5 linked regions of the Sus scrofa genome follow. The protein of the gene in region 2 interacts with the protein of the main gene of each other region in a pairwise test. Links are inferred from orthologs where the notes say so. Each region holds a gene or a part of one and is shown on either strand. Other genes may lie near its edges.

Region 1 (5,577 bases), on a different chromosome or scaffold from region 2:
GTTTGGGAGATAGGAGGTGGTGGTGGTGTAGTGGCCATGCTTCCTCCAGGAACAGCAAGAGGCTTCTGGTTGGGCAGCTTCTTTCCTGGAAGAGGCCTAAATGAGGGAGAGGCAGCCAGTGGTTGGGGTACAAGGGAAGGAAGGAGGGGAGTCCAGGAGAGGAAAGAGACAGGTAGCTCTGCTCCTTGTCACTGCTGCCCTCTGCCTGGCAGGGGCCCAGGGCGACGGTCACCCTGAGGCAGAGTGACTTTCTGGAAGAGCAGGAAGGGCCTGCCTTCTCCCCGACTTGACACACCTGCCTCCACCTGCTGTGGCTGCTGCAGGTCAGGCCCGTCCTGTCATTGGCTGAGCTCCAGGGAGATGAGGCCCTCGTGTTCACGGAGCCAGTGTAGTTCATGCTCTGAGCATCAGCCGTCCAGAAGGCTGCAGAGTGGCCTGGGGTCTGGGGAGCCATAGCCACACCCCAGAGTGGCTCCCAGCATGTGTGACTGTCACTCTGACTGCAGCAACACCTGTCCTACCCGCTCTGCACCCCTGCATTCATGGCAGCGAGGCGCCTTGTTCCCTGCATGGCCCTAACCCCCTGCTCTGTTCTGTGACAGGCACCCAAAGATAGTGCAGATCTTGTTACATCGTCTGCTGATGACACCGTGTCACCTGGCGGTGTCCTTTCCCCCTGTGCTAGTCCCCTCCGTGGCACTAGCATGGCAACAACTCAGGTTTGTGCCTCTGCCTGCTGCCTCACTGTCTGTTCGCCTCTCTTCCCCCCCGGTGGTCCTTCCCCCTCCTTCAGGTGGCGTGGTTGCTAGAGCCAGGCGCCCTGCCCGAGGGCTGGGATGGGGCAGGCCGACACCAGGTTCTCCTTAAGGTTCGGGGTGATGGAAGGAAATTGGAATGAACTGGGCACACCTTGCCCCTGGGTGGTTCTTACCAGAAATTAAATGACGGCTTCGGACATTTCTTCCCTAACAGAACCATGATGCTGAAAATGGTCCTGTTCCCATTGATGAAAACACGTGAGTGTCTCCCACGGTGACAGCAGTCCCCAGGCCACTGCCCATGACCCCCCTCTTTCCCCTCGAGCCTCCTGCCCCCCTGACTCCTGTATTTATCCCCAGATCTTTCTCATCCACCGAGAGCCTGCGACAGCTATCTCAGCAGCTCAACGGTCTTGTGTCCGAGGTACCCCCAACCTGGAGCCCCGAGGGGGCGAGAGAGGGAAGGAAAAGGTGGCAGAAAGGAACCGAGGCAGAGATTCCCAAGGCGGAGGGAAGGTCCTGGGAGCGGCCAGCTTGGCTGGACGATGTTTAGCTAATCATTACTTCCCTGAGTCTCCTCTTTGTAGCTGTACAGATGAAGGGGTTGGACCATGAGACTGGTTCCACCGTTCTGTCCTGCTGATGGGAGCTGCTTGGGAGGGAGGGACACAGAGAAGCTGGCACAGAGGGCTTGAGCAGGGGGAAGGGGACCAGCTTAGGCAGAAAAGGAAATGCTGCCAGTCGATGGGCAAGACAGGATGTCGGAGGGCTTAGGCCTCGAGGGGGACGGAGAACGTCTCCATGTGAGCCCTCTCATCTCTTCTAGTCTTCACCTTATATCAATGGGGAGGGCCTAGCATCTCCTGCTAACATAAAGAAGCTGGAGGTAAGTGGGCCTGGACCGTGGCCCCGTGACCCTGCAGGTCAGCCACCTCCCGCCCCCCCCCTCCTCCCACAGCGGGGGCTAGGTTCCCCACTGCCAGCTGAGACAGCTCAGACACCCCCCGACCCTAATGATTGCTCTCTCTACCTCTCCCCCCACCCTCCTCCAACTCCTCCTCCTCTCTGCATGCGCCTCAGAGCCGGTACCACGAACTATCACTAGCCCTGGACTCCAGCAATCTAACAAACAAACAACTCAGTAGCAAGATAGAGGAATTGGTAAGAGTCCAGTGTTGTCCCCGATTCCACGCTGCCAATCTGGGGCTCCAGTTCCACCTTGGGGCTCCGAAGAAAGGGGCTGGGGGCCCCTGGTACCGAGGGAGAATGGGGTGCCGGGGGCCCAGGTTGCAGTGAGAGGGACCCGGGAGTGCGGCATGCAGCATGGCTCTCTCTGTGGCTGCCCTCTTTGCCTCCTCTGTTCTCCAGACGCCCCTGCTGAGTCCTCCCCCCCCTTGCCCTGGGCCTGGTGCCTCTGTGGGTAACACTAGCTTGACAAGGGTGTCCCAGCCCCGGCTTCAGCCCCTGATTCGCTCCAACTTTGACCTTGGACAAGTCACCTGTCCTCCCTGGGCTTTAGGAGGTAGAATTAGAGGGCGTCCAAGGTCCCTTTGAGCTGGAAAAAAAAGAAAAAAAAAAATCAAAGATTTGAAGGTCCTTCTCATTCCTATATCCTTGCTGGTAAGAACACCCCAGCCCGTGGTATGTGCGTGTTGAGCGGATGCAGCCTCCCAGACTGCGAGCTGGCGGAGGATGTGGTCGCTCCCTTCTCACACTCCAGCTCGAGAGGCTTATGTCCTTGTCCTCGCAAGGGAATCAGGTTCAGACCCTTGGCTTCTGTAGCTGTGAGCCCCACCTCCCAAGACCCAGAGTCTCTTGGCTGAGAAGCGATGGCCCCTTCGTGTCCCCAGCAGCTCCTCCTTTGAAGCCCACCCCCGGCCCCTGCTCAGCCCTCCTCCTTGGTCTGAGGATTGTGGGAAAGGGGGCCGACCTCAGTCTCCTCCCTTTGCTTCTTCCCCACAGAAACAAGAGAACCAGGAAACTCTGGATCAACTGGAAAAAGTAACGTGATTTCTGTGTCTGTCCCCCTCACGGCTGGTGGCTTCGGGGGAGGGTTGAGACGTAGAGGCCCGTTCTCCTCGCGCCTGATCGCAGCCCGGAGAAATGGGGGGCTCCCTGGCCCTCGCCACCCCTCCCTCACCCCCGATTATATGTTCTCATTGGTGAGACTGTCCTGGGCCAGTGGTGGCTTTCTGGGGGGCACCTCCTCCAGGTGAGAGCTGTTTCTCCTCTCTTCCCGCAGGAAAAAAAGGAATTTGAGCAGAAGCTTGCGAAGGAACAAGGGGCTCTGAGAGAACAACTGCAGGTGAGTGGATCCTGCCGGGTTCCCTCGCGGCCTCCGGGAAACGTGACTTTGCTGCTTCTCAAGCCCCCCTTTCGGCCTTTGTCCCACAGGTCCACATCCAGACCATCGGGATTCTAGTGTCTGAGAAGACGGAACTGCAGACCGCCCTGGCTCACACCCAGCAGGCAGCCCGGCAAAAAGCAGGTGGGAACCTGGGTGCCCTGTGACCCCCTGGGCCGGGCACGCTGGCCGGCCTGGAGCGGGAGTCCTTCCTCGGGCTTCACCTCTCACGCCGTCCTTTCAGGAGAGTCGGAGAATCTGGCTAGTCGCCTGCAGTCTTCCAGGCAGCGCGTGGGCGAGCTGGAGCGGACGCTGTCTGCCGTGTCCACGCAGCAGAAGCAGGCCGATAGGGTGAGCCCGGCAGCCTAGCCCTCCCCGGACGTGTAGTGGAGGGCGAGTGAGCCCAGAGGTCCCTTCCACAGGATGGGGTGACTTGCTGCCCAGAAGGCGGCACTGGCCACTTCCCGCTGCTCTAAACTCGTGTGCTTGATAGAAGCAACCCAGGCATGAGTTGGTTGCCATGGGCCAGTTGCCCGTGTGTGTGTGGTGTGTGTGTGTGTGTGTGTGTGTGGGCGTGCACGCAAGTGCAGTCACAGTGGAGGTGCTGTCTAGTGTGAGCCCTGGATGCAGAGCTCAGAGTCCGAGTGCCAGCCCTGCCCTTGCCTGGCTGTGGGCCCTGGCCCCCATGCTAGGTATTTGGACTGTGAAGGTCCATGACGGTATTTTTAGTACGTTGCCAAACTAAAGAGGGGAGACGCACGCGTGTGTGATGTATTCAGACATGTGGGGAGGGATTCACAGCAACCTGGTGGGGAGGAACAGGGTGGCTGAGAGACTTGTCACTTCTGAACCTTCTGAGTTTGGGGCTCTGCAGAGGTACCATCCACTCAAACCATGAACACAAGCTCACAATACAGTTCAATCCCCCTCATAATGCACCCCCCCACCCCAGGGAGAAAACGTGGTTAAAGAATCAGACAGACCTGGGAGGTCCCGTTGTGGTTCAGCGGGTTAAGGACCCAACTGGTATCCATAAGGATGTGGGTTCGATCCCTGGCCTCGCTCAGTGGGTTAAGGATCCGGCATTGCTGCAAGCTGCAGCGTAGGTTGCAGATGCGGCTCGGACCTGGCTGTGGCTGTGGCGTAGGCTGGCAGCTGCAACTCTAATTTGACCCTAGCCTGGGAACTTCCACATGCCACGAGTGTGGCCCTAAAAAGGAACAAAGGAATCCAACAGACCTGGAAGCTTGGTCCCAGCTCTGGGTGATTTTGGGGGAGCCACTTGCTCTCTGCTACTCCGTGCTGGGCACCTGTATGATGGAGGCAGTAATAGTAACCGCCTCCCACGGTGATTATGAGGCTGAAAGGGGAAAGTGCTGGAAAAGGTTCAGACCTGGTGACGGTAACGGTGATAGAGCTGGTGGTATTACCTGCCGGCCCCGGGCCTGGGAGCCAGCCAGCCGGGAGTTAGACCCTCCACCCACCTCTTCCACTCTTCCCGAGTTCCTGTTAAAACTGAATGCGAACGTGAACTTGGGAAGGGCTTTGGAAACATGTAAAGTGTGACACCAGGTGAGGACACGTTGCTGAGAGTTACTGTTGCTGCCGTTAGTCTGTTTTCCTGACCTCAGCCTTCCGCCTTTGCAGTACAACAAGGAATTAACCAAAGAGCGAGACACCCTCAAGCTGGAATTATACAAGAACAAGTAGGATGGGGAGGACGGGGCGGGGTGGGGGGCCTTGGCTGGTGTGGGGCTGCCAAGTTGGGGGGGCATCCCAGTGAGCGGGGTGAGGAGGCGGGAGAGGTTTCGACGAGAGCAGAACTAGGCTCTCATGCCAGCTGTGCCGCCAACTCATGCTGCGGCCTCAGGCAACTCGTGTCCTGTCTCTGGCCTGCCGCTTGTGACTCCTGATCCCGGGGTCCCTTCCAAAGCGACTGTCCTGTGGTCCTGTGCCGAGGGTGGTGGGTTGATCACCAGAGCGGTCCTTTGCTTTTCACTCACGCCTCCCTCCCCTGCCTCCGAGCGCAGCAAAAGCAATGAGGACCTAAAGCAGCAGAAGTCGGAGCTGGAGGAGAAGCTGCGGCTCATGGCGACAGAGAAGGCAGCCATGCAGCTGGGGATGGAGGAACTTCAGAAGAAGCTGGAGATGTCGGAGCTGCTGCTGCAGCAGGTGGAGCTGGAGCCCCAGGGAGGGTGCCCCTCTGCCCCCCGCAGCAGGCCAGGGTCTCAGGGATACCTAGGGTGGCCTTGGCCAGGAACTAGAAGACTTGGATCCTTGTTCTGGTCCTGCCATGGAATCCTCCAGAGGTGGGAGAAAAATTAAGGCCTTGCCCAGACCTCCGGAATCATAATCTCAGGGATGGGTTTGCTTTTTTGTTTTTTGTTTTTTGTTTTTTGTCTTTTAGGGCTGAACTGTGGCATATGGAGGTTTCCAGGGTACGGGTCTAATCGGAGCTGTTGCCACCGGCCTACA
Region 2 (6,359 bases):
TGTAAGGCCCTTCCTGCCACCCAGAACTTGTGCCTGGGCAGCACTAATGGCAGGGAGTCTGACTGTAGATGAATTATGGGCCTGAAGGGCCCCAAGGCTAGCCCCCGGCCTGCAAGGTCAGGCACTCTGGACAGGCCGCACAGATAAGGGCTCTGGGGTCCCACCTGCCTGAGTGTGCAGCATGGCTCTAGGCATGCCAGGGTGAAGTCAGAGGAGGTGCCCCCAGGTCCCTGCCTGTCCCTCACTAAGTCTTTATTGTCACAGGCTCGCTTCCATTAAAACCACAGCAGTGCTACTGACACATTACACCTTGCCGCGCAGTCCCCACTGGTGGGCTCTAGGCCTAGGTCCTCCTGGAGCTGCAGCCTGATGGTCTGGGATCAGCCTGCCAGCAGCTCCCCACCCTCACTGAGGTGCTCCAGTCTCCTAGGGGTGGGAGGGATGGGCGGAGCGCAGGCCAGCCTCTGGCCTCTCCCCACCCCCCACCCAAGAGGCCTGGGGCCCACAGCCAGCTCTCCTGGCTCCTCTGCTCCTGAGCTGGGAAACTAAGGATAGGCAGAGTCCTTCCTTGTCCCAATGGAAGGTGAAGTCCACTCCAGTGGAGAAGGTACGATTCTGTCTCCCCTCTGGGAGTAAGAACCCTTCTGTCCTGGCTGCCAGGAAGCCACTTCAGGGAAAATGGTCAGCGCCTTAGTTTCCTGCCTTTGGCTGTGCCTCATCTTATTGGGGCACCTGCCATACCTCAGGCCTTGAGGAGCCCCAGGTGCCAGATGCAGGTGGACATTCTAGGGCAAGGGGAGTTACCTGCAGGCCACCAGCACGCTAGGAGACGCCTCGAGACCTGCCTGTGATCCTGCTCTGCATCTGCCTCTCCCGGGCATGAAGTGAATAAATGAAATTGGACTCTGAGGGCCCCAGGCAGCAAATTTCACATCCCTGCAGGCCCATTTCCAGGACTTAAAAGGATTCAGCTATGCTCTTGGGACCTTTGTGGCTGAGGCCCAGCAGGGAGATGTCATGTGCCAAGTTAAGTCCTCACACTCTGAGCTGATGGTTACAGGAGCCAAGAGGCCTTCCATGGTCCAGTTGGACTGAAGGAAGATGACAGGTTGAGCCAGGACTGGCCCACGTGCATGGCCCTTTGGTCTCCATGCCTCATCCCATATCTTCAGGGACCAGAAAGGTGGTTGTGGGGCCCTCCCTGCTTGCCAGGCACAGCAGCCTGAGATCAGTAATCTTGTCCATTTTGCAGATGAAGCAGGCCTGTGCTGAGTGGGGGCTGAGCAGCAGCTGGGGCACAGACACTCTGCCATGTTTGACTGCCAAGGACATTGGGTCTGGGGATGGAAGTCTGTTGTTTTCTTGAAAACGAAGTAAATCTGGCCTGGATTTTATGACTGTTTCCAAAAAGGCCAGCTGGGTAAATCAAGGCTTAGTGTCAAGTGAAGGTTGCCCAGCATTGCCCCCGACCTCTATGCACACCACCCTGTCCCTCAGAGAATGTTGTAGAACAAGGAGCTGCTTGGGGAGGGGTTGCCAAGAACTGGGCTCTGCTCTCCACAGCCAAGAGCTTGGCCTCCAGGGTCTGAGCCCTCCAGGCTACAGCCAGTCTGGGGGGAAGCAGACCTCAGGGGAGGGAGGGGGCCCCACCCCCAGCAGAGGCAGAGAACAGGGCTTCTTTCTAGAATCCACTTTTTTTTTTTTTTAAGGGACATACTGTGTCAAATGGAAGTTCCCAGGGATTGGAGCTGTAGCTGGGGCCTATGCCATAGCCATGGCACCACTAGATCCGAGCTGCATCTGCTATCTTCAGTGCAGCTTGTGGCAACACTGGATCCTTAACCCACTGAGTAAGACCAGGAATCAAACCCACATCCTCACAGATATTAGTCACGTTCTTAACCTACTGAGGCACAATGGGAACTCCTAGAAACCGCTTTATTATGGCATCTGGCAGGTCAGACACAGCTCAAGTCAGGTCCCTCTCTAGGCAGATCCTGAAGGAGGAAGAGGCAGGAACCCTGATGGGCAGCTCCTCACTCAGGCCATGCTGCTGCTTAGCTGCATGGCAAAGTCGTGCACATGCTCCTTCAGAGTCTGGCGGGCATCTGCCTGTGCCCGCTTCTCCCGTGCCCGCTCCTGCTGCAGCTTGGTCAGCCGTAGCCTCAGCCGTTGCTCCCGCCGCTTGCAGGCCTGCAGTTGGCGCTGGGCCTTGTCCAGGGCATCAAGGGCAGCCTCAGCCCGCCGCTTCCAGAGCAGGGCACTGCCCACCTGGTAGCTGTGCTCATTCTGGATGTAGGCTCCAGCAGGAGGAGGGAGGCGCAACATGTAGGCTGAGGGTGACACAGGCCGAGGCTCCAGAGGGGACGGCTGCCGCTCGGGCTCCCGCTCGGGGGAGGGCTGGGTGCTGCAGCCTGCTTCATCAGCCTGGGCACCCAGGGGCCCCAGGAGGTCTGAGAACGGGCTGCTGAGGCCAGGCTCCAGCCTCCCAGTAGGGGAAGCAGACAGAGCAGCAGGTGCGGAGGCCTCTTCCACAGGAAAGCAGGTGACATCAGCAGGTGGAGGTGGAGAAAACGGAGTCGTGGGCCCTCGGCCCTCAGAGCAGCTACAGGGAGACAGAGCAAGGGACAGGCCAGGCTCAGGGCTCAGTGACCTCATTTCACCAGCCCACCTAACCCCCATCCCTGAACCATAGGCTCAGAGCCCTGTCCAGCAAGGCTCCATCCGAAAGCCCAGTCCCTCAGACGTGAAGTGGGACATCCCCCAGCGCAGCGCTTACCGCTTCCTGCATCGCCGAAGCCGGCTGACATCAGGGGGGCCGGGTGGGTAACTGTGCCCCTTGGTCTTGGCTGTTCGGCGCAACTTGGAGAAAGACTCAAATATTGTGGGGACTGCTCCCTCCTTCAGCCTGTGGTACCCACTGTAGGGGAAAGCAGTCTGAAGTAGAGAAGAGGGCCTGCACCCCAGGCTGACCTGCAGGGTGCGGAGCCTGCAGCCCCCCAGCCCCTGAACAGGATCCTGGGCTAGCACTGGGGCAGGTGGGAGGCACACTGCAAACAGCTAGTTTGGGGGATGCCAAGTTAAGAGGTACCCCATCTCCTCCATGAGAGCCTCCTGAGAATTAAGGTGACTGGAAAGGCCCCACCAGAACTGGGCTGACCCCCTGAAAGGAGCGGCTATGTTTGTGCCTTTGCTGGCGTGCCTGGGCTCCAGGAGCACCCTCTGGCACAGTGATACCCGGGGTGTGTGTGTCTCTAACTGCTTCCGTCCGGAGAGGAAATTGAGATTCTGAGCTGGGAAGAACCAGGGCGGCCTGCCCTGGTGTCAGCAGGAGGCTCACCTGATTCCCACCAGTTCAAAGCAGTTCTCCTCGAAGTGTTTGGAGCAGAAGTAGATGTACTCGGATGCTGGGTCCCACAAGCCCTGGCCGCTGGGGTCCAGCCGCTGGCAGTTGGCCAGCCACAAGCCTCGCCTCGGGTTGTCCTTCTTGGGAAGCCTGTAGGGCAACAAGCCTGTCAGAGCTGGGCCGCCGGCGACACACCGGATGGGAAGGGCCGGCCTGACTCATGCTGCCCCCGGACCCTGTGGGCACACAGACTAGGAAGCTGAGGCCTCAAAACGTAAAGCGACTGGCTCTGCACCAGGGTGCCTCTGACAGCAGCTAGTTCCCTCTCCACCGCAGCTCCGCCCACCATCAGCCTCTAACTCAAGCCTCGCCGGACCCGCCGAAGCGCGTGCGCAGTGAAGGCTCCTCAGGTGGGCAGGACAGACTAATGAACACGTGACCCTTTCGGCGCCAGCGCGCACGCGCGCTGACCTGTGGAAGGAGATGCCGCGGTTGCGCGTCTCTCGCGTGTCCCGCGTGCAGCAGCCGGCGGCGGAGCAGTGACGCGGCATCTGGAGAAGAGGCAGGAACTCGGTTGCGGGCTGCTATCTGGGCCCGGACAAGCCTCGCGCCCCTAGCCGCCACCCTGCTCCAGGCGGCCCCGTCCTGGCGCGTCCACACCGGCCCGATCTCGTCAGAGGCCCTTCCCAACCCACTCTCCCGTCTCCCGTCAGCGGCACTTACGGTCTCGCCATTGCTGCGCCGCCGAAGTCTCGCGAGATGTGGCTCGCGGCGGAAGTCGGTACCATAGAGACCCGGAAGCGCGCGGCGCTCGCTGAGGGGCGGAGCGGGCCCCGGAAGTGGTCGGCCTGCGGGGCGCCGCGCGCAGGACCGAAACGACTCTGACAAGAACGGGCTGGTCGTGCGATGCGGAGCCCTGGCTGGGCGGGCACGCATGCCTCTGATGAGAGGTGCCCCTTGTGGACGGGAGGGAGGCTCTGGGGCAGCTCCTCCAGAGGACGGGGCGAGGAGGGTGAACGCTGTGGTCCCGCGACTGTGACCCGGACCGCTTCCGGTCCCGGAGGAAGGGCGCGAAGGATCCGGAGTGTTTAAACTTAAAACATTTTCCCCGATTTCCCCACTGGCCTTATACTCTTATTCTGGAAGTAATACAGCAACTGAGGTGCCTCATTTTTTCTCTTTGGGAGGAAACATGATTTTTCCCTAGGAATTCGCTCGGAAAAGGCAAGTATCTGGTCGGGGAACTTGGCCGAAGAGCAACACAGGAGCAGACGACACTCAATACAGAAACTTTAATAGGTAAACACATCTGGAACGTTACAGAGCAGGGTGAAGGGGGGCCGCCTCGCCCTCCCGCTCAGTACTCCTCCCCCTCCTCGGCCTCCGCTTCCACCGAGTCCACGCCCACCTCTTCGTAATCTTTCTCCAGAGCCGCCAGGTCCTCCCGGGCCTCCGAGAACTCGCCCTCCTCCATGCCTTCCCCCACGTACCAGTGCACGAAGGCACGCTTGGCGTACATGAGGTCGAACTTGTGGTCCAGGCGGGCCCAGGCCTCGGCGATGGCCGTGGTGTTGCTCAGCATGCACACGGCCCGCTGCACCTTGGCCAGGTCTCCCCCTGGGACCACCGTGGGGGGCTGGTAGTTGATGCCCACCTGCCAGAGAAGGGGAACAGATGGAGACGTTTATACTGTGGCGTGAAAAATGGTACCTTGTTTTTTAAAACAAGGCCCCATGGGAATTGGTACTTTCTTTTTTGGCAGTATCTGACAACATTTAATATTCTTTGACCCAATACTGTCACGTTTTGGATTTACCCACATAAGAGCAAAAGCTACATGTATAGAGATTTTTATGTATTTAGTTTAGGGTACTGTTTGAAATGGCAAAACTGGAAACATGTCCTTCCTGGGGAACAAGTTATCACACATCTCTACAGTAAAACACGGTACCATGATGAAAAGGAATGAAGAACCTGCCCTGGCCTGTAAATATGTCCAAGGTGTATTGTATACTTGGTAGAAAGCAGAGCAAGTTGAATTCTACCTGAGTGTTTATACTTCAAAATACTTACAGAGTAACAACCAAAGCTGGGAGATACCATGCTGGAGGACAAACAACTGGTAGAGTGCGGACAGATGGCTGGCCCTGACCTAAGGAGCAGCTGGCAGCCAGCACCAGCTTGACGCAGCTCTTCTCCAGAGGAACTGGGAGCAGGGGGCATGTACAGGGGGTTCTGATCTGATCAAGGGGTGCCCCCTACCCCCCAGCTCTAAGACCAGGCTGGCCAGCCCTTCCAAACAGGATGGCTGCCACCTTGCTTTTCCCTTTGGCTACCTGTGTGCGATGAGTCAAGTCTGTCACCTACATGAAAAGAGTGTATTTTCTTTGCCTGTGTTGCTGGCCTCTTGCTGTCAAGATCACTACCAAGAAGCATGATGTGAATACGCACAGAGTATCTCTTGAAGGACAAAGCTCTGAAAGGGAAGAGGACTTCAGCTTTTCACCAGCTTTTTGGACCATTTTAATATTTTGCACCATACTTGCCTTTTTATAATGAAATAACTTAAACACAGAAAAGACTCCTTGGAAATAGTATACCCCTGAAAAAATGGTGAAGTCACAGACTAACAAAAAGGACTGGAAGCCATGAGAGTTCAACACAGTCCATCTGGGGCAGAACCATCTTCTAAGATTCAGAAGCTTCTATGGGAGTTTCTGTTGTGGCGCAGCAAAAACAAATCTGACTAGGAATCTTGAAGTTGCGGGTTTGATCCCTGAACTCGCTTCAGTGGGTCAAGGATCCAGCACTGCCATGAGCTGTGGTGTAGGTCACAGACACAGCTCAGATCCCATGTTGCTGTGGCTCTGGCACAGGCCAGCAGCTATAGCTCCGAGTTGACCCCTAGCCTGGAAACCTCCATATGCCATGGGTGTGGCCCTCAAAAGAAAAAAGAAAAAAAAAAGAAAAAAGAAGGAGCTTCTATGGACAAAGCTGTGACCTGTACCTTTCC
Region 3 (5,671 bases), on a different chromosome or scaffold from region 2:
TTTCCCTATCTTGGCTATTGTGAATAGGGCTGCTGTGAGTGTACGAGTGCATGTAACTTTTTGAATTATGGTTATGTCCGGATATGTGCTCAGGTGTGCAATTGCTGGGTCATATGGTAGTTCTACATTTAGTTTTCTGAGGAACCTCCATACTGTTTTCCATAGTGGTTTTAACATTTTACATTCCTACCAACATTGTAGGAGAGTTCCCTTTTCTGCACAGCCTCTCTAGCATTGTTATTTTTAGGTTTATTAATGATAGCCATTCTGACCAGTGTGAGGTGGTGGTGTTCACATTTTTTTCTGTATTAATTTATTTCTCTATAATTAGATGTAGCATTTTTATCCCTGAACCATTTGAGAGTAAGTTGCAGATATTGATGACATTTCACCCCTAAATTTCAGCATGTATCTTCTAAGAACAGACATTCTTATGCTTTTTCTTCGTGTTACATATAAGAAATTTATCACTGAATATAACAGCATTACCTAATATTTACATTTCTCCAGTTGTCTGTAAAATTTCTGACAGCTTTTTTCTTTTTTTCCCCTTTTTGGTCTCTTGCAACTAGAATAGTCTCTGTCCTTTTTTTTTTTTTTTTTTTACTTTTTTTTTGTTTTGTTTTTTAGGGCTGCACCTGTACCACATGGAGGTTCCTAGGCTAGGGGTGAAATTGGAGCTGTAGCTGCCGGCCACAGCCACAGCCACAGCAATGCAGGATCTGAGCCATATCTGCAACCTAGACCACAGCTCATGGCAACGCCGGATCCTTAACCCACTGAGCAAGGCCAGGGATTGAACCTGCAACCTCATGGTTCCTAGTCGGATTTGTTTCCGCTGCACCATGGTGGGAACTCCATTTTTAACCTTTTTTGACATTGACATTTTTACAGAGTCTAGATCAGTTGCCTTTTAGAAAATCCAAAGGTCTGGATTCATGTGATTGTTTTCTCATGATTATAGATTATATTCAGTTTAAACATTTTTTGGCAAGAATTGCTTTTCATTGCATTATATCAGGGAGGCACATAGTTATTAGTTTGTCCCATTATTGGTGGTCCTAAATTGATTGCTTGGTTAAAGTGGTGCCCATTTTAGTGGCATTCAGGGATGAACCCTGCCTGTGTCAGTTATTAAATTGATGGTTTCAGATCCTCATGTTTTTAACTGAATTAATCACATTCCATCCTAATGGCCAAGGGAGTTTTTTTCCCTAGCTCTTTCGTGAAACAGGGTGTGTATGTATTCAGTAAATACCGGTCGAATTGGTTATTCATTGGTTGCCCGGTTTAAGGAACCGATAGATATTTCTGAGTTATTTTCTCACTAGTTGCATCCATAGTTGTGTATTAGAAATCATTTAGCTGAGCTTTTTTTGTTGTTGTTACTCTTTTTGGGGTATTAATGGTTATTTTTGCTTTCTGCCCTTAGTGTGGATGATTTGGCTCTGAGCATATACCCACCTGTGTGCCACCTGACTGTGCGACTCAATGTAAGTACTGGCTTTGAGGGAGTAGCCACAGACCTAACTGATAGAATTTCAGTGATCACTAGTGTTTCCTTTAAGCTATAGGGAATGTATTTCTTTGTTATGCTTGGTACAAGTACAACAGTAGTGTCATAATTCTTACATATGTTTGTACTTGATAAATATTTGCTGAATTTGAATTAATGAGCTCTAGTAGTACTCTCTTCCATAACCACTTGGGTAATTATTTAGAAAAACCTCGAGACCTTAGAAAAATGCTGCTTTGAAAAGAAAGTCTTAATTGCCGCAGTGCTTTAGGATTCTCTCAACCTGAAATCTCAAGTTTCTAATTTCTGCTATAGGCCAAAATAAGTGATTCAGAAGCATGCTCTGGGAATTCCCTGGTGGCCTAACAGTTAAGGATCCAGCATTGTCACTGCTGTGGTGCAGATTCAGTCCCTTGCTCAGGAACTTCTGCGTGCCACAGGCGCAACCAAAAAACAAAAACAAAAAACACTTTGCTTTAATATCAATACATGTGTGATTTAACCACGAAGAGTCAATCTCTTTATAAAAATCTGATTTTATTATACTTTCAAGTCCTTGGTTCTGTGCTCAAGTTCTATTCTCTTATTTTTATAAACTTTAAGTTCTTATCATTTTATTGGAAAGAGAAGTAGAACTGCCAATGGCTAATATTTTACCATTAGATGTATCAGCCCTTATTAGATAAATTAGTGGAAGTTAAAGTTATCAAATGCATCTTCACAGTGTACAGACACCTTGGAGTAGAATAGGAATCCACATCTGCAACCTTCATCACAGCTTGCTGCAACACTGGATCCTTAATGCACTGAGCAAGACCAGGGATCAAACCCACATGCTCATGGATACAAGTCAGGTTCTTAATCTATGGAACCGCAACAGGAACTCCTCTGTTTTATTTAGAGGAACTCCTCTAAAACTATTTTAAATTAAAAAAAAAAAAAAAAGCTTATGAAGGTATTACAGCAATGGTATTAATAAGATTTTGCTAAATAAAAAATAATCCATGATCCCACCATCCTAATCTAATCAGTCATTTTTGTTTTTGACTGTTTCCTCCAAGGTTTCTTTTTTTTTTTTTTCCAATGAGTTTTTATTAGTTGAGTCTTAAAATATTTTTTCTTTGGTTACACCCTTGGCATGCAGAAGTTCCCAGACCAGGGATCAAACCCACACCATAGTAGTGACCTGAGCTGCAGTGGTGACAATGCCAGATCCTTAGCCTGCTGCACCGCAGCAGGAACTCCTTAAGATATTTTTTAAACTTCTTTTTTTTGGCAGTGCCCAGAGCATGGGGAAGTTCCTGGGCCAGGGATCAAACCTGCACTGCAGCAGTAGCCCAAGCTGCAGCAGTGACAATACCACATGGGAACTTTAGGAGCTCCTTAAAATATTTTAACTCTCCTTTTCTTTTTTTATTCCTTTCATTTTTATGGTAGGGCTCAAAGTGAGTAACTTCTTTGTTTTTTTCCTAGGCTGCAAAACTTGTATCTGTTTTAGAGAAAGCACTGGAAATTACAAAGTGAGTATGAAGACTTCTTCCCAAATAGCTTTTTGAGAATAAACCTGTCCAGTCATTCTTAACTCCTTCACCCCCATTTTGAGGAGTAGGAGAAAGTGGGTATAGTGTTTTCTTTCATCTTCACTTGTGAAATAGCTGAGTGTCGGCAAAGAAACTTGCTTTTCTTACTGTAGTTTTCCCTGTGCTCTCTGTTGGGGATAGGTTTTCCCTTGACAGTCAGTGTAAATACATTTAATTTCTCTTTCCCATTCCATTCACAGAGCAAGTCATGTGACCCCACAGCCAGAAGATAGCTGGATCCCTTTACTTATTAATGCTGTTGATCATTGCATGAACAGAATCAAGGAGCTCACTAATGAAGTTGAATTATGAGTTTTCAGGCTCATTCGTACTCTTCTCTGTCCCTTTCCTACTATCTCAGCCAAGCTCTGATGTCTGCTTTTAGAGTGGGGCTAGGATGCTTTCTAGAACAAAACGGAGTTCCTGTCTATACTTATTAATTAAGAGACACTATTACCAAAGATTATTGATTAGGTCATACTAGTAATTATTTATAAACCATTTAAGTATGATATATTTTTCTGTGCTAGATACAAAAGATAATTGTATGAGTGTTTGTTCTTGAGTTGCCTCTCAGAGATTCCTGGGGAAGCTGCCCTTTTTGCAGTAAAGTGTGTCATTTCTTTGTTAAAGATGTTGATAGTGTCAGTAAAATGCTTGGTGCCAGTAAAATGCTTGATTAACTGAGGTACCCTTCCAAAGTGTCTTTCTACCAGAAATATGTGGGTTGAGACTAGAATATTGCTTTTGTTTAGGTTTTTAGGTCTAAAGATCTGATTCTGATCAGAAACATATTTAGAACAAAAACACTTTATTTAGAGCAGATGCCTCCAAAGGCCTTGTTAGTACTTCAGCATGTTTTATAGTTATTCTCACCAGCAACTTCTCCTGAATATTATTCCAGGTTAGGTTACTCAGTGGCTCTGAAATTATTTTTTGGTATTGAGCTTGTGAAAATTAATAGGGGGAAATCTTGTGTAAAATAGAGTTGAAAAAAAAATTTTTTTTTAACTAAAAAAATTAATTAAAAAAAATTAAAAAAAAAATGGAGTCGAGAGGCCAGAAGGGGGAGCACTCATGCACTGCCACTCTAAGTAACAGGAAAGACTGAATTCCTGATAGAAGTGATGTGAGTTGCATCTCCTGCCAGAAATTGACTACCCCAGCTACTAAGGCAGTGGGAACCCCTCATCACCCAGAACTCTCGCTTTCCTCCGTTTGAGCAGTTGTTCAAAACAGCTGCTCCCAACTTCCTCCTTTGTGGTGGCTTTTACTATAACCTTCTTGACCCTAATTGCAGTTCTTTGCTGTTCCAGAACAAACCCATTTTGCTGATAAAATAACTGCCTCTTCTGTTTTTTATGTTAACAAGCTCAGTTATTAAGATTTGTCCACCTTATTGAACAGCCTTGTTTTCCTTATGCATACTTAAATTGTTATTGTCTGTTTTGTATTATGTGTCTCCAAATGTAAGCACAATTTTTTTTTTTTTTTAACAGCTGCACTTGCAGCACATGGAAGTTCCTGGGCTAGGGGTCAAATATGAGCTACAGGCTGGGCCCTACACCACAGCCATGGCAACTCCAGATCCTTAACCCACTGAGCCAGGCCAGGGATCAAACCCTTATCCTCACAGAGACAGTGGTGGGTCCTTAACCGACTGAGCCACAGCAGGAACTCCCAAGTACAAAGTTTTTATAAGTCAAAAATTTTAAATGTCTGAGAGTTTATATAACTTTAAGGGCCTCTTTGGTTAATCCTTTTGCAAAATCATTAACAGACAATAATATTTTTGCATCAGTATGGAAGATCACATCTTGGAAAATAAGGTATACAATACTGCATATTTTAGTGACCTGCCTTAGACCTTATGCATGTATTACTGGTTTCCATACTTCTAATGCTGGTCCTTTGTCTTGTATAGGTGTACTTCATCACATCCGCCCTTCTGACATCCCCTTGGTCTCTTGAGATATAGTCAGTAACAGCAGCTGTTTTTTTTTTTTTTGTCTTTTTAGGGCTGCACCCATGGCATATGGAGGTTCCCAGGCTAGAGGTCGAATTGGAGCTGTAGCTGCTGGCCTAAACCACAGCCATAGCAATGCAGAATCCAAGCTGAGTCTGTGACTTACAACACAGCTCATGGCAACGCTTGGTCCTTAACCCGCTGAGTGAGGCCAGGAATCAAACCTGTGTCCTCATGGATGCTAGTCAGATTCATTTCCGCTGATTCATTTCTCCCCAACCCCTTCTTTTTTTTCCTTATATTCATTAGTTTGTTGTATTTTTTAGATTCTACATGTATGTGATATCATACAGTATTTATCTTTTTCTGTCTGATATATTTCACTTAGCATAATACCTTCCAAATCCAGCAGCTTTTCTTTTGAGAGACTAGTGTGTACTTGGGGTTGAAATTCCTTAAGTCCAAAGAGATTTTGTGTGGGTTTTTTTTTTTGTTTTTTGTTTTTTTGTCTTTTGTCTTTTTAGGGCCACAACCCTCAGCATTTGGAGGTTCCCAGGTTAGGGGTCTAATTTGAGCTGTAGCTGCCGGCCTATGCCACAGCCACAGCAA
Region 4 (6,375 bases), on a different chromosome or scaffold from region 2:
TTGCAGAAGCGAGGGAAGCAGCCCAGAGGCAGGGGATGACCTTGGCCTCCAGAGTGGGCCTGCCCCCTCCCTGCAGGGAAACTGGGAGAGGAACAGTTGAAGGACGGTGCTTAGAGGGCTTGGACTAGCTCTGCCACAAGGAGCTCAGAGGAAACCCACTGCCTGGCCCCTGGTCCTCCCTGTGTGCAACCCAGTGGGTCGGGCAGAGGGCATAAAGAGACCAAAGACACCTGAGGCCCGGGGGGGAGAAAGGAATCCATGGGGTACATAGCGCCCCCGGCCCCCACCCCCTACCCCGTACTGGTCCCCCGGAAAGCTCCCTCCCTCGTGCTCTTCACGGGCAGCTCAGGGCCCCAGGCCAGGTTGGTCAGAAATGCCCAAACAGAAGTTGTTTGTTTTTGTTTTTGTTTTTTGTCTTTTTTTGTCCTTTTCTAGGGCTGCACCAACGGCATATGGAGATTCCCAGGCTAGCGGTCAAATCGGAGCTGTGGCCACCAGCCTATGCCAGAGCCACAGCAACGTGGGGTCTCAGCCACGTCTGTGACCTACACCACAGCTCACGGCAACGCCGGATCCTTAACCCACTGAGCAAGGCCAGGGATCGAACCCACAACCTCATGGTTTACTAGTCAGATTTGTGAACCACTGAGCCACGAAGAGAACTCCCCAAACAGAAGTTAAACGTACCCGCTTTGGAGTTCCCACTATGGTGCAGGGTGTTAAGAATGATTGCAGCAGCTTGGGTCACTGCGGAGGCGGGGGTTCAATTCCCGGCCTGGGGCAGTGGGTTAAAGGCTCCATTGTTGCCACAGTTGCAGTGTAGGTCACAGCTGTGGCTGGAATTCAGTCCCTGGCCTGGGAACGTCCATATGCTGCAGATGTGGCCATTAAAAAAAAAAAAAAAAAAGTTAAATGTACTCCTTAAAGTTTATAAACAATAATCTCCAAAGGCAGAAAAGAGAGCCAGAGAGACTAGGCATGGCTACTCCCTGGCTCCCACTGTCAGCGCAGGCAAGCATGCTTAACTTGTGTAAGCGTGCTTCCTCTGTGAGACGGGAAAATGATGATTGCTTTTCTAACTCTAATGACAGCAAAAAACGTTTCATGTGTCTGGTGCGAAGCAGGTCTCAATGGCGAAGCTGTAAAGCAAAGGCAGATCATTTGGGTTCAAAGCCTGGTTCTGCTTTTCACTTTTTGTATGACTCTATACCTCAATTTCTTTTTCTTTTCTTTTTTTTTTGTCTTTTGCTTTTTCTAGGGCTGCTCCTGCGGCATATAGAGTTTTCCAGGCTAGGGGTCTAATCGGAGCTGTAGCCACCAGCCTACACTAGAGCCACAGCCACGCCAGATCTCAGCCATGTCTGCGACCTACACCACAGCTCACGGCAACGCCGGATCCTTATCCCACTGAGCGAGACCAGGGATCGAACCTGCAACCTCATGGTTCCTTGTCAGATTCATTACCCACTGCGCCGTGATGGGAACTCCTACACCTCAATTTCTTTCTTTTTTTGGGGGGGGGCACATGCAGAAGTTCCAGGCCCAGGGATCAAACTCAAGCCACAGCAGCTACAAGAGCCATAGCAATGACAACACTGGATCCTTAACCCGCTGAGCCACCAGGGAACTCCCTGTACCTCAGTTTCTTCATCTGTAATATACCATCTACCTAATAAACTGCTGTGAGGACTCGTAACATGCTCAACACGATGCCTGGCACTTGTACTTGGTGAAGTCAGTTTCCAGAGCAAGACACTCTGAGTAAGCTCTTTCTAGGCCTTGAGCTAAAGTTTGCACAGCGAGACAAAGCTGGACCCCTCGCTTGGATCAGCACAATTACAGCCCTACTCTGGAGAATTTAACAATTGCTCCAACCTTCCAGGCCAAGTAGACACAGGGCATTCAAACCCTTCCCCCAGGAAGCCTTCCCTGATTACTTTGCCCACAAAGCTCTCCTCCCAGCCTCTGAGGTTGTCAGGGAGCCTCCATTTCCACCCTCTCCCCACGCTCCACAGTTCAGCCTGGCACAGAGCTGGGCACACAGTAGGGCTCCAGGAAGACCTGTCCGCTGACATATTTACTGTGGGTTCCTGTTTCTGGGCCAGAAAGTGGCTGGCAATTCCTCAGTTCCCCAGAATTGGCTGCAAAGTGGTGGCAGGTGTAAATCACCCCCTTCCCCGGAACCAGGGAGCCTGGGGAGTGTGTGCCCAACTGCCCTTTTGGCTCTGAATCTAGATGAGCAGCAACAGGAAAGGGGAGTTTGGGTACCTGCTTCTTTCGCTTCTCCTCAGATGAGATGCAAATATCCAGTGTACTTGGGGGTTGGCAGGAAGGAGACTGTGTCAGAAGTGATGGGACCCCTAGCCTGGGAACCTCCGTATGCCTCAGGTGCAGCCCTAGAAAAGCCAAAAAAAAAAAGGAAGAAGTGATGGGACCAACACTGCTGGCGCTGCTCCTGTGTGTCTGCTAAGGTTCTAGGAACTTTTGAATATTTTAAGTGGGTGCGGGGGGGCGGGGGGGTGTTGAGGAAAGAGGATGTTTTTAGTGGCCCTAGTCCAGGCAGTTTTCACCCATATCGCTTCTGTGCGAAATCTTGTGGTGGATACTGGGGCCTGAGAGGAACAAACCCTGGGCCCAGTCTGCAGAAGGAGAAAAAACTGGTCGCCCTGTAATGGTGGCTAGGCCGGGAGAGGTGGCCTCCAAGTCAGGGGGAGCGGGAGATCTGTGCTGCGCCAGGTTCTCAGGGCTTCCCCGTCCCCTCCTCTCCCTCCCAATTATTTGGCAGGAAAAAAAAAAAAAAACTTAGAAAAACCGGCACCTCCCATCCTGATTCCTCAGGACCCACGAACACCCCACCCACCCTAGGTGGGGAAGGCGTTCAAAGGACCCCAGGGTTTAAAGATTGATTAGGTCGGAATCCTGAGGAGTTGGGCGGGGAGTTTTAACTCCCTCCTCTCCAGCCCAACTCCGAGAGCGCGAGTCCATCCCTCCCAGCCCCATGCTAGGGTCTCCGGCCCCCTGGCCCATGGAGCCCACACTCACCAGCTCCGTCCTCAGCGCCATGATCTTGTCCCCCAGGCCGTGGCCGGTGCTGGGCGCCCCTGGGAGCAGCAGGGCGCCAGAGGTGCCCGGCTCCCACTCGCCTCGCAGCCCGCGCAGCAGCCCTTCGGGGGTCTTCCTGCCCACCTTGCCCTCCACGTCTCGAAGGTCAGGCGTCTGGGACTCCGCAGTCCCCTCCATGCGGGTCTAAGGCTGCACAGGGATGGGCGACCGGAGCCGGGATCCCGCTCCTGGGGGTCCTCCTTCCTCGGCCGCTAGTACGGAACCAGTGGGTCCCCGCCCGCTCAGTGCGGGGGCGGGAGGAGGGCGCCGTAACCCTCAGAAAAGCCGCGCAGAGCTCTGTGTGTTTGTGCGTGTGTGATTGCGTGTGTTTGCGCGCGCTGGCTCCGAAATGGGTGAGGCTGGGCGATCCTGCTTATGCACCTGGAGGAGAGCTCAGCGCCTGCTCCCGACTCTGGCACTCAGTCCAGCCAGGTTGTCAGCAGGCGCCCAAAGAATGTTTGCTGAATGAAGGTTAAGCATTTGCAGTTAGGGATGTGGGATTTTAAGGAACAGTGGTAACAGAGATGCAGAGGGTTTTGGAAGGCTTCCTAGAGTAGAGGAGCTGAGTCTGTAACAGTGGAGGAATTTAGCTACCCACTGATGCACGCACACACAAAACCAGTGTAGCCACTAAATTTAGACTATAAGCGTGGAAAGTCAAGTTCTTCTGGCCAATGAGGGGCAGCCAGTATTGAAGCTGAAGGGGTCCAGATGGGCTACATCGTGATCTTGAAAACTGATGCCTCTCAAACTTGACTATGCATATGTGAAGTTTCTGTGAATCTTGTTAAAATGCAGATAACTGTTCCATCCATCTGGGGTGGGGCCTGGGATTCTGCATTTCAAACAAGCCCCCTGCCGACGGCCCTGCTGCTGGTCCAGGGACCACACTTGAGTAACAAGGTTATAAAGATGGTTCTGTGCGTGGATTTTATTCTACGGGCAATGAGGTGCCATAAAAAACTTTTTATGCTCTAGCTTGATTTTGATTTTCAATCCGAGTTATTCAAGCCCATCATTACAGAAAGATGTGTAACGAAAACATAGCTATTACCGCCATCCTATTCTTTGCCGCCTCTAGTCGCACTACCCAGAGGCAATTACTTTTAGCTATGTTTTCCTGGTGCTTATACTCATAACTCCAAAATAGGTTTGTAGCACTATGTCTTAACTTTCACATGATCTGCTACCTATTATGAAAAATATGGGTTTACCTCACAATCTGTATTTCCCTTCTTCCATTGGTCCCACACATTTCTATCGTTATTTACTTATTTATTTATTATGGCTGCATCAGCAGCATATGGAAGTTCCCAGGCTAGGGACTGAATCCGAGACACAGCCGTGACCTATGCCGCAGCTGCCTCAATGCTAGATCTTTTAACCCACTGTGCCAGGCAAGGGATCGAAACCCATGCCTCTGCAGTGACCACAGCCACTGCAGTCAGATTCTTAACCTACTGCACCACAGTGGGAACTCCTACATATTTATTTATTTATTTTCTCTTACAGCCACACCTGAGGCATATGGAAGTTCCTGGGCTAGTGGTCAAATTGGACCTGCACATGCAGGCCTATGCCACAGCCATAGCAACACCGAAGCCCAGCCACATGTGAGAACTACACCACAGTTCATGGCAATGCTGGATCCTTAACCCACTGAGCAAGGCCAGGGATTGAACCCACATTCTCATGGATATTAATCGGGTTGGTAACCTGATGAGCCATCATGGGAACTCTCCTATTTTTTATCTTTTAATTAAAAAAATTTTCTTTGGGCGTTCCTGTTATGGCTCAGTGGTTAATGAATCCAACTAGGAACCATGAGGTTGCGGGTTCGATCCCTGGCCTTGCTCAGTGGGTTAAGGATCTGACGTTGCCATGAGCAGTGGTGTAAGTTGAAGACGTGGTTTGGATCCTGAGTTGCTGTGGCTCTGGCATAGGCTGGCAGCTGTAGCTCTGATTAGACCCCTAGCCTGGCAACCTCCACATGCCGTGGGCGTGGCCCTAGAAAAAAAAATTTTGTTTTCCTTGGCCACACTCAATGCAGGTGGAAATTCCCAGGCCAGGGAGTGTACTTGAGCCACAACAGTGACCCAAGCCTTTGCAGTGACAACATGGGATCCTTAACCCTTGCACCACAGGAGAAATCCCATGGAAGGGTTCGTTTTCATCATAAACATTTTAAGAATTTTTGAATTGGAGCAGAGTTGACTTACAAAGTTGTAAGTCAGGAGTACAGCGAAGTGAATCAGTTATACATGTACACATATCCACCTCTTTTCAGGGTCTTTTCCCATATAGGTTATAACGCAGTACTTGAGTACATCTCCCTGTACCACACAGTAGGTTCTTGTTACCTGTTTTATATACAGTAGCGTGTATATGTCAATCCCCACTCCCTAATGTACCCCCGCCCCAACATTTTCCCTTTGGTAACCATAAATTTGGTTTCAAAATCTTTCGGTCTGGTTCTGTTGTGTAAGTTGTTCTGTATCATTTTTATTAGATTTCACACATTAGTGATCACATATGATATTTGTCTCTGTCTGACTTACTTCGCGTGGTATGATAATTTCTAGATCCATCATGTTGCTGCAAATGGCATTATTTCCTTCGTTTTCATGGTTGAGTAATAGTCCATGATATGCTTCTATTGTGTATATGTCCCACATCTTCTTTATCCCATTCTCTGTTAATGGACATTTAGGTTGCTTCTACGTCTTGGCTATTATAAATAGTGCTGTAATGAACATTGGGGTGCATGTATCTTTTCAGATTATGGTTTACTCTGGGTATATGCCCAGGAGTGGAATTGCTGAATCACATGGTAGTTCTTTAACTTTTCTTTCTTTTCTTTGCTTTTTAGGGCTGCACCTGCAGCATATGGAGGTTCCCGGGCTAGGAGTCAAATCAGAACTATAGCTGCTGGCCTATACCAGAGCCACAGCAATGTGGGATCCAAGCCGTGTCTGTGACCTTTGCTACAGTTCACAGCAACGCTGGATCCCTGACCCACTGAGCAAGGCCAGGGATCCAACCCGAATCCTCATGGATACTAGTCAGACTGGTTTCCTCTGCGCCACCATGGGAATTCCTCTACATTTACTTTTTAAAGGAACCTCCACACTGTCCTCCATAGTGGTTGCAGCAGCTTACATTCCCACCGACAGTGTAGTTCCCTTTTCCCATGAAAGGGTTTTAAATCAGAGGTTGACAAAATAGATTTGCTTTTTTGAGAAACTACTCTGGGTTTTGCAAGGAGAAATGATT
Region 5 (5,577 bases), on a different chromosome or scaffold from region 2:
GTTCAAGACGTGTGAACAGGGAGTTCCCGTTGTGGTTCAGTGGGTTAGGAACCCATTTAGTATCCATGAGGACGTGGGTTTGATCCCTAGACTCGCTCAGTGGGTTAAGGATCCAGCGTTGCCGTGAGCTGTGGTGCAGGTGGCAGATGCGGCTCGGATCTGGCGTTGCTGTGGCTGTGGCATAGGCCGGCAGCTGTAGCTCCAGGTAGACCCCTAGCCTGGGAAGCTCCCTATGCATCGGGTGTGGCCCTAATAAGCAAAAAAAAAAAAAAAAAAAAAAAGAAAAGAAAAGAAAAGAAAAGGATTTGTGAACAGATGAAAAGTGTGACATGGTCACTGCTGGACTGCAGGAAGGTCCCTCTGACAAACCACATAGCCCGCAGGCCCAGTCCAGCCTGCTGCAGACACGCCTCATGTAACTGCACTTTGCAGATAGTTCATGTTTTGTAAATGGAAGATCTGTGGCAACCCTGCCTTGAGCAAGACTCTTGGTGCCATTTTTCCAACAGCATTTGCTCGCTTAGTGCTTCTGCGTCACATTTCAGTAATTCTCACAATATTTCAAATTTTAAGTTGTTACTCTGTTTGTTGTCAGGATCTGGGATCAGTCACCTTTGAGGTTACCAGCAGGACGTGCTGAAGGCTCGGAAGATGGTTAGGGCTTTGAATAAATAAAGTTTCTTTTCTTTGAATAAATAAAGTTTTCCCATGCCCGCAGCATGGGGAGTTCCAGGCTAGAGATTGAACCCATGCCATGGCAGTAACCCAGGATGCTCCAGTGATGAGAGAACTCCCCTCCACCACAAGAGAGCTCCCCAGTATTTTTTTTATTTATTATTTATTTATTTATTTATTTATTTTGTCTTTTTGCCATTTCTTGGGCCGCTGCTGTGGCATATGGAGGTTCCCAGGCTACGGGTCCAATCAGAGCTGTAGCTGCCGGCCTACACTACAGCCACAGCAACGCGGGATCCCTGACCCACTGAGGAAGGTCAGGGATCGAACCCGCAACCTCATGGTTCCTAGGCGGATTCGCCAACCACTGAGCCACAACGGGAACTCTGAGAGAGGTCCCTAGTAGTTTTTAATTAAGGTATATCTATTGTTCTGTGAGACACGGTGCTACTGCACACTTAACAGACCACACTACAGGGTGGACATAATTTTAAATGCACTGCGAAGCCAAAACTCCCTTTACTGCAGCATCGGCTTCACTGTGTGGTCCAGAACTGAACCCACAGCATCTCCAAGGCCTGCCTATATCTGGTTTTGTAAATTGAATTGTAAATTGAAAACACAGCTGGACGCATGTATTCACGTTCTGTCTATGGCTATTTTCTTGCTAAGTAGGGGTTTTTTTGGTTTGGTTTTGTTTTTGTTTTTGTTTTTTTTCTGTCTTTTTGTCTTTTCTAGGGCTGCACCTGCGGCATATGGAGGTTCCCAGGCTAGGGGTCTAATCAGAGCTGTAGCCACCGGCCTAGGGCCACAGCCACAGCAATGTGGGATCCGAGCCACATCTGCAAGCTACACCACAGCTCATGGCAACGCTGGGTCCCTAATCCACTGAGCGAGGCCAGGAATGGAACCCAAAACCTCATGGTTCCTAGTCAGATTCGTTAACCACTGAGCCACGACGGGAACTCCCTTGCTGAGTAGTTATAACACAGACCATTATGGCCCCCAAAGCCTAAAATATTTACTATCTGGCCCTTCACAGAAAAAAAAAAATTTCTAAACCCTAGTCCATAGGATGTATCAGAGAAGGGAGAAAATACAGGAAGTGAGGTGGTGGTTACAAGGGCCATTGTTTTAAGGTGACGTGGAGGATGACAGGTGCAGAGAGATGAGCCTTGTCTGTATCTACAACCAGATGGAAGAACAGAACAAGGATCTTCTAAGGCAGGACAGGCACTCATGCTTAGTTACCATCATTTTACGTGATTTATGCTGGTTAGGTCTCTGCTGGTTCTAACACTTTATGAATCTTTCAGGAAAAAGCAGCCCTTGTGGCCCTGGTTACCTGCAGGGTCGGAACTGTAGAGAGCGGCAGCGGTCGCTAGGGTTCCTGGCGGGTGGATGGCGCTCGCTGAAGACCTCTGACTTGCGATCAGGATCCGACTCTTGGCAGACGGTAAACGTGACATCGCGCCCAATCCCAACTGGGGCTTAAGGAGCATGGCCGATCGATAGAAGGTTGGAGGAACTTCATAGTGCGTATAGGGAGGAGAACAAAATTCCTCTTTTCCAGGGCGTTCTGCAACCTACGATAAGTGACCAGAAGCTCAGTCAGAGACCCGAGCATCATAGGACGAGTGCTGAACCCAGTCCAGACACCACGGCGCCAGCAATGACCACCGGGCACCATCGAGTCGCTCCACCCCCCGTCACTTACATTCACTGGACCCCGCGTCTTCATCTCCAAGTGGACCACGGCTGGATGCCCTCTTAGGTCTATGCTGGTTCTAACACTTTATGAAACTATATTTCCCTGGGAGAAAAAAGAACCCCCTCTATAAGATTTTTAAATTTGATCACCCCCAAACCATTGGAATTTGTGCAAGAAGTCAATCTATAAATAAAGACTGTCAATGATGCAAGAGGAGAATTTAGCAAATGTTCATGGAATTCGGAAAGTTCCATGATTGCTAAGGAGGAGAGGCACAATTTTTCTAGTGACCTAGTCTTCCGTGAAGTTGATGAACTTTATCAGGTGATGTGACGTCTTTATTAGGCTACTTAGGAAATACACTATGCACGGTTAATGAGGGAGAAAAGGTTATTGGGAGGAATGGAGAAGTTAATGCAAAGACGTCTTTGCTCAGGCCTCTACCTTCTGTTTCCATAATTAAAAAGGAGAGACTGTGAACTACCTCTGATTATCGTTCCTAGTAAGGTGGTGCCTGCAGGAATGTTTGAGCAAGTCTCACCAGGATGGAAGTTGGGGGCAGAGTCTTGCGTGAGGACTGCTGAATGCATCGCACCTAGAACAGCATTTAGCGCAGGGGCTGAAATCAGCAAACCTCTGGGAACTAAAGGGATCGTGTTTCCTTCTTTCCTGAATTTAATCACGTGACACCATGTGACAGTCTGCTGTGGTTCACAGGGCGGATGAGGATACTATTGATGGCTACCTTTTAAATAGGCAATCCTGTACTCACAAGCCTGTTCACAGTATCAGTGTTTCTTCACGGTAAAAAGAGAACGAAATAATCTTATTTCTTTTAAGTTAAAAAAAAAACAAAAAACATAGTGCCAGAGGCTACATTTGAAAAGATACAGATGTTAATTAACTCCGCTCTAAAATCACAATGCATTCGACTAGTCAAACCTCCATCTCTTCAGAAATCACAGGCGTTTAACCATATTCTTTAATAGGGGCTGTAAAGCTGTAATCCCGGATGTGGAAGCGATAAACCCTTAATTTAATACCCTTTGACTGTTGAAAGAGATACAAAGTTCTCCTCAAATTGACATTATTGAAACAAAAGACGAGGCCTTTAAAGTTTTATCATAATCACATTATAAAATATGCATGATCGCTAGAGCAGATAGATGGAATTCAGGCCACGGCAAATTCAATTCCTGTGAAAGAACATTCTACATCTGCTGCCTGATAAAATTTTCACCATTTTCTACTTACGCTCTTACTATCAATCCTCGGCTTTTCTATTATACTCACATTTCCTCTATTTTTTTTTAAATTTTACTTTCTAAATGTTTGGTGTCATTGCTCATTGCTTTTAGCTGGTGCTCCCATGAAGAAATCAGTATCATTTCTAACCTACATCTGCTGAGATTTTAGGATTGCAGTGTCCTCTGTGTCAGTAATGATTCTGTTCTTTCAAACCGGACAGACTCCAGGGGTCAAATCCATCCCACTGTTGGAGTTCCCATTGTGGATCAGCAGAAATAAATCTGACCAGCATCCATGAGGACGCAGGTTCAATCCCTGGCCTCGCTCAGTGGGTGAAGGATCTGGCATTGCTGTGGCTGTGGTGTAGGCTGGCTGCTGCAGTTCCAATTCAACCCCTAGCCTGGGAACCTCCAAATGCCACAGGTACAGCCCTAAAAAAAAAGAAAAAAAAAAAAAAACCCACCCCGCTGTCATTCAAAAATAACTTTAATGTTTTCAAGAGCTTCAATGTCTATCATTTTGTTGGGTAATTTGTCTCTAGTAAGATAACAAATTCTTTACAAAGGTGAGACGTATGCCTCAGATGCCTCATCTGTGCACTTTTAATAAAACAAGAGAGTCTACAAAAAGCTTCACATGCTTTGCTTTCATCTCTATTGACAGGACAGAGCAGGATTCACTGCAGTCACAAATGCAGACAGATTCAACCCAAATGGGGCTTTTCTCTCCTTCTCTAAAGGAGTCTTTCTAGAGAAATAATTTTGAAAGCAAACTAAAGCATCTTTGTGATTTCAAACTTCTAAAATCTCTCAAGTCACACAAGGAACTAATAAGTTCTCACTAGATTGTCCCCCTTCCCGTTTGCCCTGTCCTGTTCTCAGGGGACCATGGGCCGGGGAGACACCAGGCAAATGCTGAAGCTTCACTGGGACAGGTGCAGGGAGAGGGCTGGGGATGGCTCATGGTGTCACCTTGATAGGCAACGCAACTCAGAGAGTTGGGCAAGGATTATTCCAGATGTTTCTCTGAAGGTAATTTTTTTTTCTTTGGATGAGATCAACATTGAATTCAGTAGACCTTAAATAAAGCAGATTACCTCCTGAGGTGGGTGGGCCTCATCTAATCAGTCAAAGGCCATAACAGAAAAAGACTGACCTCCCTCAAAGAAGAGGGAAATCTGCCAACTGACAGCTTTTGGACTTGAACCGCGGCATCAACACTTCCCTAGGTCTCCAGCCTGCCAGCCCACCCTGCAGATTTTGGATACGCCAGCCTCCATAACTGTGGGACCCAATTCCTTACAGTCTCAATAGATAGAAAACCAGGTACACACACCCATGCCTGTGTAGACGATCTGTTTCTCTGGAGAGCGCTGGCGGACAGCGGCCCACAGTGATGAGGTGGTGCCAGTGAGGGGAGGGGAGTCCAGCCCCCCCCACCCCTCCGCACACCTGTATCCTGCAAGCACACTGCCTCACCTGGTCCTCAGCCCTGCTGCCCTCCTCCTCCTCCTCCTTATACCAGTCCCTGATGCCAGGGCTCCCCGAAGGTGTCAATAGGAGGAGGTGCCCCCAAGGCCTCAGGAGAGCCAACAGCAGACAGCAGTCTGGACAAGCAGGCCCACTTTATCACCCTGGCATGACTGACCCAGGATGATCTTCAGAGCCACTTCTGAGGCTAAACACAGATGGGGAGCCTGTGGGTTCCATCAGGTCATAGCTTTAGGAGCAAAGGCCAAAGACCACCCTACTCTCCGAGTTTGATTAGACATCTCCCCAGAAATGAGCTCACCACTAACAGGGGCTCGGGCTTCTCTGCTCTACCCGGCAGCCTGAGGAAAGGGCCTGGGCCTTGGATTATGGCAGAAAATGGCCCTCAGCAACAGCAGGTGGCACGCAGTGACACTGCTGTCCCCACACCAACAGGGTCTCTCCAACCCCTCC

The links.
Region 1: the proteins of THAP7 (region 2) and GOLGA2 interact in binary tests that used the Homo sapiens proteins (3 or more experiments, as listed by UniProt). The two-hybrid records come from large-scale screens. The link is inferred for Sus scrofa from reciprocal best matches to the Homo sapiens genes THAP7 and GOLGA2.
Region 3: the proteins of THAP7 (region 2) and CCNDBP1 interact in binary tests that used the Homo sapiens proteins (3 or more experiments, as listed by UniProt). The two-hybrid records come from large-scale screens. The link is inferred for Sus scrofa from reciprocal best matches to the Homo sapiens genes THAP7 and CCNDBP1.
Region 4: the proteins of THAP7 (region 2) and LURAP1 interact in a two-hybrid assay, tested with the Homo sapiens proteins (2 studies listed by BioGRID and IntAct). The two-hybrid records come from large-scale screens. The link is inferred for Sus scrofa from reciprocal best matches to the Homo sapiens genes THAP7 and LURAP1.
Region 5: the proteins of THAP7 (region 2) and MTUS2 interact in binary tests that used the Homo sapiens proteins (3 or more experiments, as listed by UniProt). The two-hybrid records come from large-scale screens. The link is inferred for Sus scrofa from reciprocal best matches to the Homo sapiens genes THAP7 and MTUS2.

The regions. Positions count from the first base shown.
Region 1 is NC_010443.5:268,709,357-268,714,933, reverse strand, and holds part of GOLGA2 (golgin subfamily A member 2), read left to right. Parts: intron 1-602; coding exon 603-719; intron 720-972; coding exon 973-1,016; intron 1,017-1,118; coding exon 1,119-1,182; intron 1,183-1,584; coding exon 1,585-1,644; intron 1,645-1,838; coding exon 1,839-1,919; intron 1,920-2,720; coding exon 2,721-2,759; intron 2,760-3,000; coding exon 3,001-3,063; intron 3,064-3,152; coding exon 3,153-3,246; intron 3,247-3,346; coding exon 3,347-3,453; intron 3,454-4,749; coding exon 4,750-4,808; intron 4,809-5,132; coding exon 5,133-5,274; intron 5,275-5,577. UniProt on the Homo sapiens protein: Peripheral membrane component of the cis-Golgi stack that acts as a membrane skeleton that maintains the structure of the Golgi apparatus, and as a vesicle thether that facilitates vesicle fusion to the Golgi membrane.
Region 2 is NC_010456.5:50,589,492-50,595,850, forward strand, and holds THAP7 (THAP domain-containing protein 7), read right to left. Parts: upstream 4,288-6,359; 5' UTR 4,283-4,287; coding exon 4,070-4,282; intron 3,898-4,069; coding exon 3,818-3,897; intron 3,497-3,817; coding exon 3,341-3,496; intron 2,921-3,340; coding exon 2,780-2,920; intron 2,606-2,779; coding exon 2,041-2,605; 3' UTR 1,921-2,040; downstream 1-1,920. Other genes in the region: tubulin alpha-3 chain, read right to left, coding at 4,704-5,000. UniProt on the Homo sapiens protein: Chromatin-associated, histone tail-binding protein that represses transcription via recruitment of HDAC3 and nuclear hormone receptor corepressors.
Region 3 is NC_010443.5:128,254,543-128,260,213, reverse strand, and holds the end of CCNDBP1 (cyclin-D1-binding protein 1), read left to right. Parts: intron 1-1,432; coding exon 1,433-1,493; intron 1,494-2,989; coding exon 2,990-3,036; intron 3,037-3,296; coding exon 3,297-3,408; 3' UTR 3,409-3,783; downstream 3,784-5,671. UniProt on the Homo sapiens protein: May negatively regulate cell cycle progression. May act at least in part via inhibition of the cyclin-D1/CDK4 complex, thereby preventing phosphorylation of RB1 and blocking E2F-dependent transcription.
Region 4 is NC_010448.4:165,204,442-165,210,816, forward strand, and holds the start of LURAP1 (leucine rich adaptor protein 1), read right to left. Parts: upstream 3,751-6,375; 5' UTR 3,241-3,750; coding exon 3,043-3,240; intron 1-3,042. UniProt on the Homo sapiens protein: Acts as an activator of the canonical NF-kappa-B pathway and drive the production of pro-inflammatory cytokines. Promotes the antigen (Ag)-presenting and priming function of dendritic cells via the canonical NF-kappa-B pathway.
Region 5 is NC_010453.5:6,201,562-6,207,138, reverse strand, and holds part of MTUS2 (microtubule-associated tumor suppressor candidate 2), read right to left. Parts: intron 2,262-5,577; coding exon 2,021-2,261; intron 1-2,020. UniProt on the Homo sapiens protein: Binds microtubules. Together with MAPRE1 may target the microtubule depolymerase KIF2C to the plus-end of microtubules. May regulate the dynamics of microtubules at their growing distal tip.